4 linked regions of the Schizosaccharomyces pombe genome follow. The gene in region 1 interacts genetically with each later gene. Each region holds a gene or a part of one and is shown in the gene's direction. Other genes may lie near its edges.

What was found.
Region 2: mutations in rga7 (region 1) and myo2 are lethal when combined (synthetic lethality), as found in Schizosaccharomyces pombe (2 studies listed by BioGRID, with this or other methods).
Region 3: of rga7 (region 1) and pmk1, changing one suppresses a phenotype caused by changing the other (phenotypic suppression), as found in Schizosaccharomyces pombe (one study listed by BioGRID).
Region 4: mutations in rga7 (region 1) and art1 impair growth when combined (synthetic growth defect), as found in Schizosaccharomyces pombe (one study listed by BioGRID).

What each region holds. Positions count from the first base shown.
Region 1 is NC_003423.3:2,109,980-2,114,834, reverse strand, and holds rga7 (Rho-type GTPase-activating protein Rga7), read left to right. Parts: upstream 1-1,759; 5' UTR 1,760-1,940; coding exon 1,941-4,028; 3' UTR 4,029-4,350; downstream 4,351-4,855. Other genes in the region: mat1-Mc (M-specific transcription factor Mc), read right to left, coding at 1-353; mat1-Mi (M-specific transcription factor Mi), read left to right, coding at 488-616; cms1 (U3-containing 90S preribosome complex subunit), read left to right, coding at 4,478-4,820.
Region 2 is NC_003421.2:1,232,731-1,240,250, reverse strand, and holds myo2 (myosin II heavy chain myo2), read left to right. Parts: upstream 1-2,014; 5' UTR 2,015-2,220; coding exon 2,221-6,801; 3' UTR 6,802-7,020; downstream 7,021-7,520. Other genes in the region: RhoGEF for Rho1, Rgf3, read left to right, coding at 1-866; Smc5-6 complex non-SMC MAGE family subunit Nse3, read right to left, coding at 7,080-7,520. UniProt on the Schizosaccharomyces pombe protein: Required for cell division. It is a component of the cdc12 'spot', a structure thought to mark the site of septation. May work in conjunction with myo3.
Region 3 is NC_003423.3:728,812-733,498, forward strand, and holds pmk1 (MAP kinase Pmk1), read left to right. Parts: upstream 1-2,004; 5' UTR 2,005-2,048; coding exon 2,049-2,114; exon of another isoform or gene 2,115-2,214; coding exon 2,215-2,394; intron 2,395-2,667; coding exon 2,668-2,739; intron 2,740-2,821; coding exon 2,822-3,772; 3' UTR 3,773-4,141; downstream 4,142-4,687. Other genes in the region: serine/threonine protein kinase Vps15, read left to right, coding at 1-1,835. UniProt on the Schizosaccharomyces pombe protein: Regulates cell integrity and functions coordinately with the protein kinase C pathway (pck1 and pck2). Involved the regulation of wall architecture, cell shape, cytokinesis in exponential and stationary phase, and metabolism of ions.
Region 4 is NC_003423.3:2,363,284-2,367,538, reverse strand, and holds art1 (arrestin-related substrate adaptor for RhoGEF, Art1), read left to right. Parts: upstream 1-1,725; 5' UTR 1,726-1,808; coding exon 1,809-3,260; 3' UTR 3,261-3,724; downstream 3,725-4,255. Other genes in the region: SUMO deconjugating enzyme Ulp1, read right to left, coding at 1-422; PPR repeat-containing protein Ppr3, read left to right, coding at 4,199-4,255.

The sequences.
Region 1 (4,855 bases):
TGTTTTTCCTTCCTGTATAATATAAAAGCATTAGGGGGTCTCGGAGTACGTTCAGTAGACGTAGTGTCTTTCCGTAAACTCTTCAAAATATAGCCGGGAACTTTACATTGATCCAATGTGAAGGATATTGGTTGAGGTCTTGGCAGTTGTGCAGAATTCCCATCCAACAGGTAGCTTTGTGAGTTAGGAATGAGTATAGGAGTAAAGCCATCAGGAACAAAGTAAGCAGCACCTTTGCCAGTTTCAATTGAATGAAGAGCATCCTTTGTAAGGTATCTTTTAAAACACCAGTCTGGATCTAAAAAGTCGTAGGAAATAGGGGAACCCGCTGATAATTCTTGGTGTGAGTCCATTGTAGTTGTGAGTGCAAGGTAGGTGTAGAGTGTGGAGGGTATTTAACTACTTACAGAACAAAGAAACCCAAAAACAAAGGAACAAAATACACTAAAACACAATAATTTAATCTAAAGCACAATACATACTAATAATGTCAGCAGAAGACCTTTTTACAATTCAAATCCTATGTGATCAAATTGAGTTAAAACTTGCATCCATTGTAATAAATTCTAACATCAAATTACAACTTAAACGTAAAAAAAAGACACAACAATTATAAACTACATATAAGCAGGGTTCAGTAAATTGGGAAGGCGTTTCTGGCTATTAGGTTGTATGGCTATTAAATTAAAGGTTGTATGCTATACAAATGCATATGCATATGCATACAGAAAAATACTACCTCTTCCAATATTTTTCCTTCAACTACTCTCTCTTCTTTTCCTACCCTTCTTCTCACTCTCTTTTCCTTTCACGGCTAACCCACTATTTTCTCTCCTTTCTCTTTCTTTGTTCCTACCCAAACAAAGAAATAGTTACCATAGCTACTACAACAAAGCAAGCACTCATCCCACTTAATGTGGGGTCCCCTAAAGAATTCCCGTCTAATGAGAATTAGGAACGTTTCATTGTCAAGTTCGTTATTAAGTTATTTAAGAAAATATAATACTGATTAAAAATATATCGGTATAACAAATACAAAAATTAAACAGTCGCAATAAAACATGTTGACAAACCTGTAGTCATAGAATAAACATAATGTTATTATATTAACAGTAGGCTCTAAGGATTTATTATTGTTTTTACATATTCGTTCATGACAAAAAAAGTATTACAAACAACTTGCAATAGAATAATCCTACTTATTTGTTCTTTTCATTCACCTAATCCTCTCCCCCATTTGGAAAGGGTATGGCATTTTACTCGAATAACGCAACCAACTTTCTGTCTCCTTATTTTGCTATCCCCCACTTAGAAAGGGTATGACACTTTTCCTTAAATAACACAATCAACTCTTTCTCCTTATACCCTTCTTCCCCTTACCGCCTTCCTACTCACCTCAGTCTTTACCCCCACGTATCTCTACCTCCCACTTGGAAAGGGTATGACACTTACCTCGAATACCACAGTCAACTCTTCCTTCCTTTTCAACCCTCCCTCACTATACTTCATCCCACTTAAAAAGGGTATGGCAGAAACGTTATACAACGCAATTTGTATTTTATTCTTTTCCTTTACCTTCCTATCTTAAACTCATTTTCATCCCCCACACTCAACCTCCCAATTCCAAACTTTTAGCTTCGTTACATCTCCGTAATTTGAACTACTCATACCTCCTTAATCCTCTTTATCTCTTCCTCTACCGTCCTCTCCTTACCCTTTCCTCGTTTACATCCTCTATACTCGCTATACTACTCAAACCAACCACCCACTACCAATTCCTTACAAACAAAGAATTCACCCTTCTTTCCTCTATCATTCTTTGCTTGCTCAAGTGATTTTATATATTTTCGCGTTTACCGCGCTTCTTTTGTTATTTTTACTCTTTCTATTCTCTCACTCTATTTACTTCTCTTGCTCCCGCCCATCACTCAACTCCTTCAATGCTGTCGGCTCCCTCCTCCTCTACCACTCCCGCTTCCCCACCAACATCGCCTCCAAATACCACTTCCTCTGATGATTTCGCAGTTCTCAAAGAACCAAAAGTCGAAGCGATCCTCAATTCGGAACTTGGTCTAGCAATCCTAAATGATCGCATTAAAGACTACCTCCTCACTTGCAAAGAACTCGCCGGATTCTTTAAAAAGCGTTCCATTCTCGAAGAAGAAAGTGGAAAAAATTTACAAAAACTTGCTAAATCCTACCTAGAGACGTTTCAATCCAAACACCACTCTCCCCAATCTTTTTCCGCCTCTGTCATTACGAGTATGGAAATTCATGAACAACTTGCCAATCACAGTTTAACCCTTCAAAAAACTCTTTCTGCATTTTCCGATCAAGTCATCGAATTTCACAAAAACGCAGAACGCAAACGAAAATCCATCAAGGAATATGCGAAAAAACAAGAAAACGCATATTTAGAAGCCGTTATGCAAATGGATAAATCCAAATCTCGCTTTAAGGGTGCCGAAACCGAGTACAACCGCGCTCTCGACAACAAAAACACTGGAGACTCCCAGAAGAAGGTTGGTTTTTTTAAACCAAAATCTAATGCTCAGCTCACCAAACTCGAAGATGAAGCTCGCCTTAAGGCCGAAAATGCAGAATCAGATATGCACAGTAAGATTGAAAACGCTCAAAACGTTCAAAAACAACTTTTGTGTATTCACCGACCAAACTACATAAAGCAATTCTTTTCCCTTCAACGCGAAATTGAAAGCTCACTCATTGCAAACTATCTACGGTACACAAAGCTCTGCGAGTCAAACACCCTGCTCAACGGTCTCACAATCCGTCCACAAAAGCCCACTCCTACCAACTGTGGTTTACAACATGCTTTGGATAATATAAATGCAAATACCGATTTTGTTCAATACGTCCTTCACGCCTCCATCAAGCATGAAGATAACAAAAATCCAACCGACGCTTCTAAAACAAAAATCATTCAACCTCCAAGCTCTTACGGAACTGGTTCCTCTGCCGGAAAAACCAATCCACCCGTCAACCCCACCATCAAGGTTACTGCTGCTATTCCCTCTCCCCTACAAAACACTAATCCTGCTCCATCCACTTTTCCCAACCCTTCTGTGGCTTCCCCTGCCTTCCCAAACTCATCTACTTCCAATCCCTCTACTGCTCCCGCTTCAGCCTCTCCTTTGGCTTCTACCCTAAAACCTAGTACCGCCAATGACACAAACGGTTCTTCTTCATCCTCTTCTTCCAATCCTCGTACCTCTTCTCCACTCGCTTCTAATGCAGAAAACAAGCCCCCTGTTGCCCAACAATCACCTCCCGTACTACTTCCTACTTTACCTCCCATCCAGACGACAACGATTCAAACGTCTCGAGAAGTCGCACCACCGCCTTCTAGCATCAACTCAAACCGTGCTGCATCTCCCTTCCGACCAACTTCTGTCTCCCCTCAACCTTCCTCTCCTACGAAATCGTTACTCTTTGGTGCTCGATTAGACGCAATCATTCTACGAGAACATTCCAACATTCCAAACATCGTAATGCAATGCACTTCCCAAGTCGAAAATTTTGGTCTCAACCTCCAGGGCATCTACCGTGTTCCCAGCTCTTCCGCCCGTGTCAACATGTTACGTTCTCAATTTGAGAATAATCCTCTCTTACAATTACATACACCTGAGGACTATGAAAACGACGTTCATGCAGTCGCTGATCTACTAAAAATCTTTTTCCGTGAACTACGTGAACCGTTAATTCCCGACAATCATCAAAGAGACTTTATCGACGCAGGTAACGTTGAAGACGAATCCAGAAGAAGAGATGCCGTCCATCGTGCGATCAACGATCTTCCCGATGCCAACTACTCTACCATTCGTCATTTAACCATACATCTTGCTAAAATTAAAGAAAACAGCGATGTAAACAAAATGTCGACAAACAATTTGGCCATTATTTGGGGACCTACTATCATTAAGCAAGCTACTATCCCAGAAATTAGCAGTTTCTCTAGAACTATCGAAATTCTTATCGACTATTGTTTCACAATTTTTGACTACGATTAAAAGATCATTTTCTGTATTATTTACTGCTTACCATCTTTTTTTTCTCTTTTTATATTTTTTTCCTTTGCGTCAATAAAGCACACTTGACACTATTCTCTCTTTCTTGGATTTTGTATGCTTCCACCTCTTTCCCCTTTTTATCCCTTTCCTTACCTTGTTTTTATCCTAAACTTTTGTTTGTCTACAAATTCATTCTTTTCTTTACTGTCAATTCCGTTCACAATTTTAATCCATAGTTTAGACAACCTTCATAACGTAATAATGGAAATTATCTACGATTTTATAAACCAAATGAATTCCTTTTATTTTTTTTTCTTCTATATAGACCTTCAAATACTCTATATTTTTGTAAACGATAGATTTATATTTTTTTTTACATTTTTCCTGTACTATTCGACGGTCCACGAACTGAACGTATCCCTAACACCAAAATTTTAAAACATGCAATTATGAGCTACACGACAACAGACGCTGATGCTTTGGATGATCAACTTGATTATCAGGTAGATTTAGTTTCAGAAATTTCAGTTTCGGATGAAGAATCTGCACAACCTACTACAATAACTGAAAATTTTACTGCTTCTCAAAACAACGATTCAGCGAAACGTGAAAAAAGAAAAAAACAACGCCAAAAACAAAAGGAAAGGAAAAGAGCTAAATTGTTAGAACTACAAGACACAAACGCTTCAATCATCCAGAGTCCAGACACGCTGTCCGATTTGTTAAATAATTACATAAAAAGCATTTATAGTGATCTTACCGATGTAGAATTGTCAGATAAAGTGATTAAAGGTATAATTGCTTATTATTCTTTTTTTTTTTACTTC
Region 2 (7,520 bases), on another chromosome or scaffold:
TTGATATCCTATTAGAGCTACGTGACAAAACCCTTTATGCTCATAAATTAAGTCGTATTATTGAAATGGGTCTGATCGAATCCAAAATTGCAGTTGTCATTGGAACTCCGCATGCCGTATCATTCTTTAAAATAGGTAAATTGTCTGAGGGGGCTTCTGTTAAACGTGAGCGAACTTTGGTTTTTTATAAAGAGGGACTCGGTAATACTACAACCATAATTTGCTGTGAACCAGTGATCGGCTTAGGACATAACTATCAGAAAACATATGCCTTCAAGAGAAAAGATGTTACTTCCTTCAGAACTCTGGATGATTTTCACGTAACGGCTAACTGTCATTCAATTGATTGCTTTAAGTATTCAATTGCTCTTTGTCACAATAAAGGCATTGACGTTCTGCGTTTGGACCCTAAATTAGCAGTTGGTTTTCCAAGCCCTTCAGTGCTTAATGATACGTTGTTTCGGAACCGAATCAACAACAGTAAGCCGCTTGGCGTCTTTCGCATCCACGATCCTAGCTTATTTGCATGCTGCTATCAATTCGGTGCCGTGTTTGTCAATGGAGAGGGTAGTATGGTTAATAAAGAGTGTTGGTTTGATTGGATTGGCAAACCGAACTCTGTTACCAGCTGTCATGGATATCTCATTGCATTTAATGATGAATTTGTCGAAATATGGAACACGCGAACTAGGAAACTTAATCAAATTATCCAAGGAAATGACATTAAATACTACCCTAGTAACAGTGATTGGCTAGCCAATGGGAAATATATAATGTTTGGCATGGTTCATCCTCAGTATCACGATCGCCATTTGATACTCGCTTTAAATAAGGCAAAAACAAACTCCTTCATAATTGAAGATTGATAATTATCATATTTATTACAAGTTTTCTTGCCATGATTGTCTTTTTTACTCATCCATACTTTTGAATATCGGAAACGTTTATCTTATTTTGTTTTACGGAACATCCTGCATCTTTCGAATCATATTTTATCGCAGCCTTGAAATTTTATTTCTTCTTTTTTTTTTTTTTTACATTTCCCTACCCATTTTATCACAAAGGAATATTAAAATCTGCATGCATTAACATTTTTTAATTACTTAAAATGATCGCTACTATCATTATGTTCAGTGTTAAGCCAAAATTGGCTTATTGTACAAGTTGCATAAACTTGCCGACTACAGTTGATGAAAACAGAGAACATTGTTGTTTTTTTACGTAACTGGTTATGGTATTCTGCATGTTTTGATCATAAGTTTAAAGATGTGGTTACACATTGAAGCACCATGCTTTCTTTCAAACACTAACTGAAGCAACTAACATTTCTGTATATTTACTTATTGATTATTACCAGGGCCATAGCTGTAGATGGTCAGTAAGCACATAATAATTACTGATTGCGATTATTAGCTAGAGCGTGTTCTTATAATTATTCAGTAAGAGGCATGATTAGAGTGCTATATATAAAATGTAGATAAATAAATGCCGAGTTTAGTTATTTGCTTTAAAAGTTGTGTTCGGTACGATGAGGAACATATTATTTGCGTATCTAGTCACAAATTACTCATATATCTGTAATAGCGGGAGTTTTTTATACAATCATTTTACCTAAAAGCACGGGGGAACATGAAATTTCGATTAAACCGTAACCCCTAATCCTACGTTCATTTGATGTTTTGAGTATTAGTACAATGTATTTTCAATTATTACTTAATATCTTCAATCTTGATGAAAGTAAAGCTTTAAAAATTTGTCAGGACTTTAATTGCAAAAGACCGAGTATATAATGACCTCCATCTATTAATATTATTTCTTTTAAAAGATATATATACCTTCTTAATTGTGATATTAAAATCATTATGTTATAGGAATGTTTCTGGATGCTACCTTAACCTATACTAAATGTTTTAACGCAAATATGATCAAGTACATAAACGTTCGATTAACGCATGCGTTAATCGAATGTTCAAGTGCTTAAATCATTAATTGCTGTGCGTTCAACGGGGAGTACAAAAAGTATCCAACAACATAGTTCTTTAACGTTTTCTCTGTGCATTTGTTGATCCTTCTTTTCGGATATATCTATTGCTATCTTTTTGGATTTTTTCACTCTTTGATTTTTGGTCTATCCTTATTGTTTTACAAGGTTTTGGTATTGTACACCGCATTGTTTATTTTCAGGAAAGGCGGTAAATAACCGTCTTAGAGAGTAGCCCGATGACAGAAGTAATATCTAATAAAATAACTGCAAAAGATGGTGCAACTAGTCTGAAGGATATTGATGATAAACGATGGGTTTGGATTTCCGACCCAGAGACTGCCTTTACCAAGGCTTGGATTAAAGAGGATCTGCCAGACAAGAAATATGTTGTTCGGTATAATAATTCCAGGGATGAGAAGATCGTTGGTGAGGATGAAATTGATCCGGTGAATCCTGCCAAGTTTGATAGAGTCAATGACATGGCTGAGTTGACATACTTAAACGAGCCTGCAGTCACATACAATCTTGAACAGAGATATCTCTCTGATCAAATTTATACCTATTCTGGGCTCTTTCTCGTTGCGGTCAATCCTTATTGTGGACTACCAATCTATACGAAGGACATCATTCAATTGTACAAAGATAAAACACAAGAGCGCAAGCTACCTCATGTCTTCGCAATCGCGGATTTAGCATACAATAACCTTTTAGAAAATAAGGAAAATCAATCGATTCTTGTAACTGGTGAGTCCGGCGCAGGTAAAACAGAGAATACCAAAAGAATCATCCAATATCTTGCAGCAATTGCTAGCTCGACTACCGTTGGCTCTAGTCAGGTTGAAGAGCAGATCATTAAAACGAATCCTGTGCTCGAATCATTTGGTAATGCTCGTACCGTACGCAACAACAATTCTTCTCGTTTTGGAAAATTCATTAAAGTTGAGTTTTCTTTGAGTGGGGAAATTTCGAATGCCGCCATAGAATGGTATCTTCTTGAAAAATCTCGCGTTGTTCATCAGAACGAGTTTGAAAGAAACTACCATGTTTTTTATCAGCTTTTAAGTGGTGCTGATACTGCTCTCAAGAACAAACTTCTTTTAACCGATAACTGTAATGATTATCGATATTTGAAGGATTCGGTTCACATTATTGATGGAGTTGACGATAAAGAAGAGTTTAAAACTCTTTTAGCTGCTTTTAAAACTCTTGGATTTGACGATAAAGAGAACTTTGATTTATTTAATATACTTTCCATTATTCTACATATGGGAAATATTGATGTCGGTGCTGATCGCTCTGGTATAGCTCGTCTTCTCAATCCTGATGAGATTGACAAGCTCTGTCATTTGCTTGGTGTGTCTCCGGAGTTATTTTCACAAAATCTTGTTCGACCTCGTATTAAAGCAGGCCATGAATGGGTTATCAGCGCTCGAAGTCAAACTCAAGTCATTTCGTCCATTGAAGCATTAGCAAAAGCCATATACGAAAGGAATTTTGGATGGCTGGTAAAGCGACTTAACACTTCCTTGAACCATTCCAATGCCCAAAGCTACTTTATTGGTATTTTAGATATCGCCGGTTTCGAAATCTTTGAGAAAAACAGTTTTGAACAACTTTGCATTAATTACACAAATGAAAAGTTGCAACAATTCTTTAACCATCACATGTTCGTATTGGAGCAAGAAGAATATATGAAAGAAGAAATTGTATGGGATTTCATTGATTTTGGACATGATTTACAGCCGACTATTGATTTAATCGAGAAAGCAAACCCAATAGGTATTCTTTCATGTTTGGATGAAGAATGTGTTATGCCGAAAGCAACTGATGCTACGTTTACTTCTAAACTTGATGCTCTTTGGAGGAACAAGTCGCTAAAATATAAACCTTTTAAGTTTGCCGATCAAGGTTTTATTTTGACTCATTATGCCGCTGATGTTCCTTACAGTACAGAAGGTTGGCTGGAGAAGAACACCGATCCTTTGAATGAAAACGTTGCTAAGTTGCTTGCGCAATCTACTAACAAGCATGTCGCTACACTATTTTCTGATTATCAGGAAACTGAGACTAAAACTGTTAGGGGAAGGACGAAAAAGGGCCTTTTTCGAACTGTTGCTCAAAGGCATAAAGAGCAGCTCAATCAGCTTATGAATCAATTTAACTCGACCCAACCTCACTTTATTCGTTGTATTGTTCCAAACGAAGAAAAGAAAATGCACACCTTTAATAGACCCCTCGTTTTAGGACAACTTCGATGTAATGGTGTTTTGGAAGGAATCAGAATCACAAGGGCTGGTTTTCCTAACCGTTTACCATTTAATGATTTTAGAGTCAGATATGAGATAATGGCGCATTTACCAACAGGTACCTATGTGGAATCTCGACGTGCTTCTGTCATGATTTTGGAGGAGTTGAAAATTGACGAAGCATCTTATCGAATTGGTGTTTCAAAAATATTTTTCAAAGCAGGTGTTTTAGCAGAATTAGAGGAGAGGCGCGTAGCGACTTTACAAAGACTGATGACTATGCTACAAACAAGGATCCGTGGCTTTCTTCAAAGAAAAATTTTTCAAAAGCGATTGAAGGACATACAAGCCATCAAATTACTACAAGCAAATTTGCAAGTGTACAATGAATTTAGAACTTTTCCTTGGGCTAAGTTATTTTTCAATCTAAGGCCCTTATTAAGTAGTACTCAAAATGATAAGCAGCTTAAAAAGCGAGATGCTGAAATCATAGAGCTGAAGTACGAGCTGAAAAAACAACAGAATTCAAAATCTGAGGTAGAGCGTGATCTCGTCGAGACCAACAATTCTTTAACTGCTGTTGAAAATTTGCTTACTACTGAACGTGCGATAGCCCTTGATAAGGAGGAAATATTACGTCGAACACAGGAAAGGCTTGCAAACATAGAAGATTCGTTTAGCGAAACAAAACAGCAAAATGAAAATTTGCAACGAGAGTCAGCGTCATTGAAACAGATTAATAACGAATTAGAAAGTGAGTTACTAGAAAAAACTTCCAAGGTTGAGACTTTGTTATCAGAACAGAACGAACTGAAAGAAAAACTGAGTTTGGAAGAGAAGGATTTGCTAGATACAAAGGGAGAACTTGAGTCTTTACGTGAGAACAATGCAACTGTTTTATCAGAAAAAGCAGAGTTCAATGAACAATGTAAAAGTTTACAGGAAACTATCGTTACCAAGGATGCTGAACTTGATAAACTCACTAAATATATTTCTGACTATAAAACTGAAATTCAAGAAATGAGACTGACAAATCAGAAGATGAATGAAAAGAGTATTCAGCAGGAAGGTTCTTTATCTGAGAGTCTCAAACGAGTCAAAAAATTAGAACGTGAAAATTCTACTCTTATAAGCGACGTCTCTATTTTAAAACAGCAGAAAGAAGAGTTAAGCGTCTTGAAAGGAGTGCAAGAGTTAACAATAAATAACTTAGAAGAGAAGGTTAATTATTTGGAAGCCGATGTCAAACAGCTTCCGAAATTGAAGAAAGAACTAGAATCCTTGAATGACAAAGATCAACTTTATCAGCTCCAGGCTACCAAAAATAAAGAACTGGAAGCCAAAGTTAAAGAATGTTTAAATAACATCAAATCGTTAACGAAAGAGCTTGAAAATAAGGAAGAGAAATGCCAAAATTTGTCAGATGCTTCTTTAAAGTACATTGAATTGCAAGAAATCCATGAGAATTTACTTCTTAAAGTTAGCGACTTGGAGAATTACAAGAAAAAATATGAAGGACTTCAGCTGGACTTGGAGGGGTTAAAAGACGTCGATACAAACTTTCAGGAACTTTCGAAAAAACATCGTGATTTGACCTTTAATCATGAAAGTCTTCTTCGGCAATCGGCGTCCTACAAGGAAAAGCTTTCGTTGGCGAGCTCCGAGAATAAAGATCTCTCTAATAAGGTATCGAGTTTGACGAAGCAAGTAAATGAACTTTCTCCAAAAGCATCTAAGGTTCCCGAACTTGAGAGGAAGATTACTAACTTAATGCACGAGTACAGTCAACTCGGTAAGACCTTTGAAGATGAAAAGCGTAAAGCATTGATAGCTAGTCGAGATAACGAAGAATTACGCTCTTTGAAATCAGAGTTGGAGAGTAAACGAAAGCTTGAAGTTGAGTATCAAAAGGTACTAGAAGAAGTAAAAACAACTAGAAGCCTCCGTTCGGAAGTCACCCTTTTAAGGAACAAAGTTGCTGATCATGAAAGTATACGTAGTAAGCTTTCAGAAGTAGAAATGAAGCTGGTTGATACTCGAAAGGAACTGAATTCTGCTCTTGATTCCTGCAAGAAGCGAGAGGCAGAGATACATCGCCTTAAAGAACATAGACCGTCCGGAAAGGAGAATAATATACCGGCTGTCAAAACTACGGAACCCGTTTTGAAAAATATTCCACAACGAAAGACAATTTTTGATTTACAGCAAAGAAATGCAAATCAAGCGTTATACGAGAACTTGAAACGAGACTACGACCGTCTTAATCTTGAGAAGCACAACTTAGAGAAGCAAGTTAATGAGTTAAAAGGGGCCGAAGTATCACCTCAACCTACTGGCCAATCTTTGCAACATGTCAACTTGGCTCATGCTATTGAATTGAAAGCTCTGAAGGATCAAATAAATAGCGAAAAGGCAAAAATGTTTTCCGTTCAAGTACAATATGAAAAACGTGAGCAGGAGTTACAAAAACGAATTGCTTCTTTGGAAAAAGTGAACAAAGATTCGTTAATAGATGTGAGAGCTTTACGAGATCGCATTGCAAGCCTTGAAGATGAGTTGCGCGCCGCATGAAGTTAAATGATTTTGTAATGATGAAACCTTTATTAATTATATTATATATACTGACATATACTTCTCTTATAAGTTTACGAGCTATTTTTTTATTTTTTTTATTTAACAGCTGTACATAATATTCCCGCTATATAACCAAATATACATCTTAAATTTATATCGAGATATTAGCACGCATATAGGAACTTAAATAATATTACGAATTTTTTTGTAGTAGCGGAGTAAGTATACAATAGCATTAACATGAGACGAGCATAATGTAAAAACCTAAGAGTCATCTATGCTGCACTTGAGGAAGATTGATTCTGATACTCCTGCCGATATTCGGTTAATAGAGCATCCATATCAATGTCTGAATCCGGAAAGAACTCTGTAACGAATGATTTCAAGCCTTCAATAGAAATTTCAGTTACTGCACGGGATCCAATATAATAAACAAACTGGTTATGGGTATCATCTTTCACTCTATCTAAATACCCTTGGCGAACTAAAAGAGATAACGAGCGAGTAATATCCAGATGCAAAGGGGTTGTTTCTTCCTCTGTTAGAAGTTCCTGCAAAAAAGATTGCAGTTCTGAATGTCCTACACTGCAATGAGAAACGGCTATGAATGCGATCACAGTCATCAAAAATCCATAATAAGCAGTATCCAATACCGAATCTACAATTAAGCGAGAATCCTTTTGAAGTTCCATAGGAAGGGTAGACCTCAACACCCA
Region 3 (4,687 bases), 1.4 Mb from region 1:
TGATCTCTTCTAGGGTTTCAACGAATGATACAACTAATGTTGCCGGTATTCGAAGCCAAAGATCATTTACTACTCATATCGATTTGAAAAAGCTTACCACGAGGCAAAATGGCGCAAAAAAATCATCGTATACTGGAACTAATCCATGCGTCTTAAATTATTTAAATAAAATTTATGCAGAAGCAGCGGCTTCGACACTTAACGTTGGTGCTGCTGTTTCACCAAGCTGGGCTTCTAATATACCTTTGCGTCGTAGAACAAAGGTGTCTGCGAAGGCTGCGAATAAAATAGTTCAGACTCATGAATGGCATCCAGAAGGATCACGAGTTGCTCAGATATATTTAGGAAGCCTTCTTGATGGAGGTACGAAGAAAGTTTTGGTTAGTCCAGATTCATCTTTTTTCGTTACCTTGGGATCTGACGGTGTTGTAAGAGCATGGCAATTAGTTGAAAGTGTTCGTCATATTTCAACTATGAGATGTGAATGCCGATTAAGTTATGGGCATACGCGACGTAATGGCGAGAGGAATAGATTTTCTGTGGTCAATGGATGCTTTCTAGGTAATACATACGCTTTTGCTTCTGTTACTCAAGATGGCTCTGTGGAAGTTCACAGACTTGACGTTAACAATCAGCGGCATACTCTAATTTCGGCTGGTCGTATTCCCAATTTGGATTTCAGTGATTCTGTAACCTCCATGGAAGCTTCTACATTTCACGACGGGAGTATCCGTCTAGTCGTTGTTACAAAATGGTCACGCATCGTATACTTAGACGTGGGAATGATGAGGGTTTTGTCATCAGACCAATTACCATTACAGTGTGGGTCAGCTACTAGTGTAGTAGTTTCTGAGGGTTGTAATTGGGCTTTAATTGGGACTACCAAAGGATGGCTCTTACTTTGGGACCTCCGCTTTGGGACATTATCATGCTCTTGGCATATGCCAGCCAGGATTGATCAGATGCATCTTCTTTTAGATGTTACCAAAAAACGTAGCAACGTTAATGAGTATACTTCCGGAAATAACAATAGTCCCGTTACCAAGGTTCCAGGTAGCTCAAGTACAAGTTCAAGTAGTACTCAGCCAATTAACTCTACTATTCCCATCAATCCTTTAGAAAATCACGGAATGTTAAACTCGTTTGGAAGCACTACAGTCAGTATCAGTTTTAGCGTCCTTACCAACTTGGATAATAAAGAAGTTAATCTTGAAGATGCAGTTCCAGCGAGTCACAGATCCGCTTCAGGCATAGTAAATTTTGACGTTGAAAAAGGGAAAACCGAAGAGGTTTTCTTAGAAAACTGGAATTCTTCACTCACCAGTCCGATTCCGGTATCTGTTGGAATTGATGCTTTTAATGAAAAAAAAAAGTTTGATATAGATTCTGGCAATGACATGGGATTAAGAGATTTGAATACCAAATTCGACTCTCCTTGGCCTTGTATATCTAGTCCAATCTATAGGTACAGAGGTCCGTCTGCAGGTTCTGTCGAACGAGAGCCACTTTTTCTCATTGCCGCTTCTGGAAGCCCTCATGCGTTTATTTGGAATCCCCACAATGTCTCTGCTAGTTCGTCGGTGACCAACGACTCCGAGAGTTCAAAACTATCTTTAATACATAACAAACCTCCTATCTACCAAAAAGTCTCTGAACAACAGAATGTACGCCCAAAGTCTTCGGGAGTGTCAAGGCCTCTTCTATTCCTTCAACAGCAAAAGAATCTACCTAGCGAAAATCGTCTGCACCCCATCGTTGACATGGCCTTCTTGTACCAACCGTACGCTATAGTGCTTATTGTTGACGCTTTTGGTAGTCTTGAACTCTGGACCTAGTTTCTTTTAGTATTCCTCATATATTTATTAGATTTGTATGCATATTCTTTAATACCATAAATTCCATCTGATAGTCTTCAAATCTAACCGACTTGCATTCAAATAGTGAAATATAAGGCATCGTTAATCACTACAAGTGATGTACTGTAGTTTTTTCCACATCCCTTTTGCCAAACAGCTAAAAATTCAAGTTGCATGCTATAAGTCGCAAGGATGGACCGTCGACATCGTGTTTACCGTGTGTTTAACCAGGAGATGTATGTCGAGCCTAATTTTAAGGTATGAGATATTTGGGTAACTGCTGCATTTGCAAAACATTTTGTTTACTTGACAGAAAATCGCATCTGCTTGAACTTTTAGGAAAACTAACATAGTTTAGGTAGTGAAGGAGTTGGGTCAAGGCGCTTACGGCATTGTTTGTGCAGCAAGAAACGTGGCTAGCAAAGATCAAGAGGCTGTAGCCATAAAAAAAATTACGAATGTGTTTTCTAAATCCATTCTTACAAAAAGAGCTTTGAGAGAGATAAAACTGCTGATTCATTTTCGTAATCATCGTAACGTAAGTCTTTTATGCAAAAACGGCTTCCTGTGATTGATTACTCATCATCACCGGGATGTATTAACGAGGTGCATTTTGATGAAAATGCAAATTTTTATACAATGAAAAGTCTTCTATGAGAAATGAGTTCTAATCATCCTTGAAAAGTATTTCCTTTATAAATCTTGATATAATGTTTGGAATTCGGTTGATTAAAAAATTTGAACTGCTCATTGTCTTACATTTGCATAGTGATGTCTTTCCTATTTTTTATAAACTTTACTAACATGGTAGATTACTTGCATTTACGATCTCGACATTATAAATCCATACAATTTTAATGAAGTTTACATTTACGAAGAGTTGGTATGTTACGCGATGATCCACATATGGTGTCTGTTTTAGTCACGGAAATATTTGTATAATTACTTACTAACTATTATAATAGATGGAGGCCGATTTGAATGCTATTATTAAATCCGGTCAGCCATTAACGGATGCGCATTTTCAATCATTCATTTACCAGATACTTTGTGGTTTAAAGTATATTCATTCTGCCAACGTTATTCATCGTGACTTAAAGCCAGGTAATCTTTTAGTTAACGCTGATTGTGAGCTGAAAATTTGCGATTTTGGCCTCGCTCGCGGATGTTCTGAAAATCCAGAAGAAAATCCTGGTTTTATGACGGAGTATGTGGCAACGCGCTGGTACAGAGCTCCGGAAATTATGCTTTCGTTCAGCAGCTATCATAAAGGTATTGATGTTTGGAGTGTTGGTTGCATTTTGGCAGAGCTATTAGGTGGAACCCCTTTGTTTAAGGGAAAAGATTTTGTTCATCAGTTAAATTTAATTTTGCATCAACTTGGCACACCTGATGAGGAAACCCTGTCTCATATAAGCAGTTCCCGTGCACAGGAGTATGTTCGAAGCTTGCCAAAGCAAAGACCTATTCCTTTTGAAACCAATTTTCCTAAAGCCAATCCTTTGGCTCTTGACCTGCTTGCTAAGCTCTTGGCTTTCGACCCCAACAGACGTATTTCGGTTGACGATGCTTTAGAACATCCCTATTTAGCTGTTTGGCATGATCCCTCTGACGAACCTGTGTGTGATTCCGTCTTTGATTTCAGCTTTGAATACATTGAGGATGCAAATGAGTTACGCCGTGTCATTTTAGATGAAGTTTTAAACTTCCGTCAGAAAGTCCGACGCCGCTCTCATCCAACAAACCCAACAGTCAACATCCCGCAACCAGCCCAAACCGTTCCATCTAATGACAATGGTTCTTTCAATGTTAGTAGCTCTTCATCCTCTCAAACCTCTAACAAAAAGCGCCATGATCATTCTTATAATGAAACTGCTGCTATAGACCATAAGTCTGATGATAATCGCCATAACTAATACATTGGCAGCAGCTGGTTTTATTGAGCCTTTTTACGGTAACATTTGCATACAAATCATTCATTGCGTTTTCTCATTTTTACATAAATTAGCTATTGCTATCTTTTGAGCTTTGCTGGCTACTGTCGAATCTCTGTTTGCTCGTTTAATTTCCATAAAAAATACTCATTTGCATTAGTCCTTCATTTACTGTTTTGCATATAATATTTGGCGATCTTTGTGCTCCCTTTTCTTGCACGCTTTATAGTCTCACAGCTTGAAACATTTTGTTATACATACATGCATGCATATACACCCGTACTACAACTAGAAAAATATATAAATAGAACAGCTAATTACTTAAAAATATTACTTTTACTAGTGAACGAGTATATCTGTGGTAGAGTAATTTCCTTTATTAGGGAACATCCCAATGAAATCACAAAACTAACTAACCAAGACAAAATAGATGAATAAATACATCAGTCATGAATTTGTATCCTGCAACAATTAAACAACATTCGTGCACAAGGATAGCTCTCTTCAAGTAGAAGCGTCTTATAATGAAATGCAAAGCGGTCGAATATGAAATTATGTGCATATTTTTATAAATCAGAAAAAATATGTAAGATGATATTCGAGACGCGAATGAAGTTTTACAATAGAAAGGGAAAGCCTTTACAAATACCTGCAAAAAAGGTCGTACAGATTCCGTTGTTTTTTGGGAAAGCAAATCATGATGCGCAAATCCTATATAAAAGGAACAGTTTTTTTTAGGAGAAAATTTTGGCAATTGCCGCTATGGCATCCATTACTAGCAATGAAATAAAGCAGAAGGCGGGCGACCTTGATTCCAGTAAAGGCTAACGGGAAAAATAAAAGGGAAAAACGACGTCACAAATAAGTGAACAAAAAGTCATTAATGGTTGGGTTTCT
Region 4 (4,255 bases), 250 kb from region 1:
AGATTTTGAAGAGCAATGGGATCCAAAAATTTTTCATCCTTACTAGAATTTGTATATGAATGAGAAACGGTAGGTTTACTATTTCTGTCAAGAGTATTGTGAGAAGACATATCAGATTCGACCGTCACGTAACCACGTTCAGTCTTGGAATTTATGTGAGAAAACCGAGATTCAGGGGCTTTAGTAGAAGGCTCTAGTTTTGAATTTGTACTATTACTATTAGATGGTATCGCCTCGCCAGCGATGCGATCCAATTCAGAAATGGGAGTTTTTGTCAAAAAAAGTTTTGCATAAGTAACTGTACGAGAACAAATATTAACAAACGTGTTCAAAAATGTCTTTTTACGTTTCCTTTGATACTCTTCATATGTAATACAATCATCCTGACGCGTCCTTTTTGACGCATTGCGTTTTCCTATCATTCACGAGTGAATTGTAAAGGGTGAATCGCGAGAGGCTGTGACACACAACAACCTGGAAGGATGAGCGCGTTCTTGCTTACGTTGTGAAAATACCTCGTTATACGAGTATTGCGGTATTTACTGTAAACAAACTACTTTTTGTGTTTATATTACAATGTTTGGCTTTCGAGCCGCTAGCTTTGCTTGTAAGATTTTAAATTATGTTGCTTAACATGTAAGTGTCCGTTTATCTTTAGGGCCTACTGTGTTTGATTTCATTACACTAAAATCCTACTTCAATGTGGGCTATCACTACTTTTAGCCGTGAGAAGCTTACAAGTATATTAATGTAAATTAAATATCATATTGCTTTTATAAAATATACATTCATGACAGTACACTGTGTTACTCTTTTAAGCGTTTAATAAGTAAGTGGTAGCGTATCGCTACTAGTAAATTGTTTTAAGTTCTGATATATGCCCTGAAAATGAAAAGATAAATCGGAAAATGTGAGTTAGTTTTATACAAACCATTTAACACTTCCTGAAGGGATCTTTGAATGAACAGAAAGCCCTATATTCAGGTTATCCTTCAAACAATCATTATTTCCTAGATAGAAAAGAGTCGTACATCAGCAATGAATTTCCTCAATTATCGCCGGGGTTTTTTATCATACTACGGCTCATATAACTATCAAAAATTAGCATTACCAGTTGCTCTTGATTCTTGTTTTTCTCGATTTTGAATTTTTTGTTATGCATTGTCTGTTAACTATGCGTGAAATATCTGTTCTTTTAGAGATTCGTTTGATTTTTAGTAAAATAGTATTTACTTGCTTTATTTCCCTTTCTTCTGCTGCTCAATAATCTGATATCTTGCTATATTGTTTTCGTTTGAATTCAGTCTCTCTTCTATATTTCGTATATGTATGTTGCGATCAATCGTGTGTTATGGTTTCAAAAATTCAAAAATTCAAAAAAAAAGCCTTCTGCTGTAAGAATAAACATATTTTAGGCTTTCGTAAGTGAATTTTAAGTTGAAAATACCAATTTCAAAATTAGGCTATTAAAGTCATTTTAGTTTTTACTATTGTAATCAAAATGGAACTTTTTTACAACAGATACTAGCTTTAGATGCTTGGCTATCAATTGTAGGCTTTTGATTTTAATTCTATGGAATGGAAACAAAAGTACATTTTTTGGCCTAAAATTAGATTTTTATATAATAAAATATTATTAATTTCATTGCTATAAAAAGTCACTTAGCAGTGTTTAAGCGAGTGCTTAAAAGATTTTATTTAGCTATCTAGATCTGACATTGCTGCACTGAACCAACCTGTCTACCATTTGGTAGATTCAACTTCCCATAACCAGCACCAAGCCAGAGGAACTCACTAAATGTAAGAGCATGACATCCCCGTGTACGCTAATACGGCAATTTTCTCCTTTGGAGATACGTCCGTTACCACATTTGGATTTCCAAGCTGGATTTAATGGGATACCAACTTCAGCTCCAAGGTTGGTTGGTATCGTCCAAGTTCGAAGTAAAGAAATTCACCAACCTTTGGCTTTGGTTCAAATAACGTTAGAATTATGGAAAATTGAATCAGTGGTAATACCATCCTTGGGTATAAGTAATCACTTATCAGATAATAAGTGTCTGGCAAGGCAGGTTTTGTTTCCACTTCATTCCGAGCATCCTGAAAATAACATACCTCCTAATGATAATAATTATTCTATCAGCGATTTGTCTATCAAATCACCTCCACCCTCCCTTACTAGCGATTGGATAGTAGATTCTTATGCGTCTGATCAGGATAATCCTTCTGTTCATACTCATAACCGTACTACTCCACCTATCCCTCCACCTCATCTTCCTAATGCCTCTGGATCTTCGGTATATCAACCTCCTTACACTCCGTTTAGATCAGTATCCACCACATCTTCCTCTAATGACACATCTATCACTCCTTTTGGTGACCAAACTCCTATACTCTCTTCTTCTTCAGATCCTTACGCTACTCATAGGGTATGGTCAATGGACCTTCCCTTTGAAATCCCGTTTCCCGAAAATTCAGAAATTCCATCGACTTTTGAATTGAATCGGTCTGGTACAATATGCTCCACGAAATATGAACTACGTGCTCACATGAGTTTACTAGGGGTACCGGATATTACTACCACTGTACCAGTGTCACTCAGCAGGTATGATAATCTATCTTCTTGGGGGATGTATAATTCCCCTACTAATATTCGGCAAGTGAGTAGCGATGGTCGTGTTGTAGTAGAGGTATCAATACCCAAACTGTGTATTGGACCTTCGGATCTCGTCTCCGTCTTCGTTTCCATCATGCCTAATAATGGTTCTAAAATACGAGTACAGCAACTTTCTCTTTCCTTGGTTGAATACATCACGTTCATACATCCCTCTTCTTCAAGCCCAATAGTTCGTAAAAAGAAAGTATTACGTTACGAAGAAGATTTGGATGATATGAAACTTACATCGGAAGGTTTATCGAAAAGCCTTTCTAAACCTTTCCCCGACATTGATTTTGAAGATGCAAATATCACTGGATTCACGACCACCTCTGATCTTTACTCTGTACAATACATGCTAGTCATCAAAGTACAATTATATCGTGCTAGAAACATTGAAATAACAAACCCAATTATTGTTTCCCCAGTGGAACGATCACGAAGTCAAGCCTTACTTAATGAAATTCAAACCCGAGTCCTTGACGTTCGCCAAAGCCACGGAGGCGTTGTCCTCGAAGAAAACGTTAGGATTGTGCGAGCTTCAGATTTTTCCAAAAATAATATGTTTGCTTATTTGAATGATGACATTGTCCTGTTATCTTAGGAAGTTACATTTTTCAAGCTCAATCTGTGCTTTACTACAAATGTAAATCCCGATATTGTTGATCATAAGCCTTACCTCTGTATTTCCCTGTGTTTTTCGATATTTGCAAGCCTTTGGTTTGCAATTAAATACCCACTTTGTTTATTTATTTGTCCCTCGTTTTTTTGTTTGGTTTCAAAAGCTATGAGTAAAAATAATGGTCTTCTTGTTTTTGTTTTGTTTTAAAAAGTATTCCTGTTCTTCGACATCAAATCAATTTCTATTGAATATGTCTTCATTGTTTTATTTATTCACTAGATTTAGCAAGTGGGACTTTTGGTCACTATTTGGTTGCTTTTTTGTACAACTGACTATTTATTTTAAATTGTGTCAACAGTTTAAATCTCACTTTATTCAGAGTAGGTTTTAGTTTAATAAAAACAGCTTTAAACCTGCTTATATAATGTACTACTTTCCTTTTTTATGTGGTTTGAATATCACATCGGCTGCACTTATGTCGGCGTTTCCACTTTCATGTATGTGGCTTTGAAAGTAAAGATGTAGTAAGCATTTAAATCTGAGTAAGGCTTAATATATATAACGATTGCATTTTGTTATCTAATAGCCCAGTATACGGTTACACTCTTAAATCAGTTACAATTTTATTAGATATTAAGCTCATTGTGAGTAAAATTTTTCCACACCTCTTCCTTAAGTTTGTATAATCCATTCTTATAGTAGTATAACCAGAAGTAAAAGTTTAAAATATTAGCAATTAAATTTCTTTTGAGGAATGAAAATACGAGATCATTATCAAAGCGTTTAATACCCACTTAACTTTCCATCCACAAAATATACGTTTCAATCCAGGTATTAATATCTATATATTATTGACTACTTTATCAGGAAAAAAGATCAAACATCTTTAATTTTTGAGATTTCAGAAGCTACTGTACCTTATGCTAAACAAATGTTCTGGCTCTTTAACACTTTTAGCTGTTAGAAGATTTTGTGGT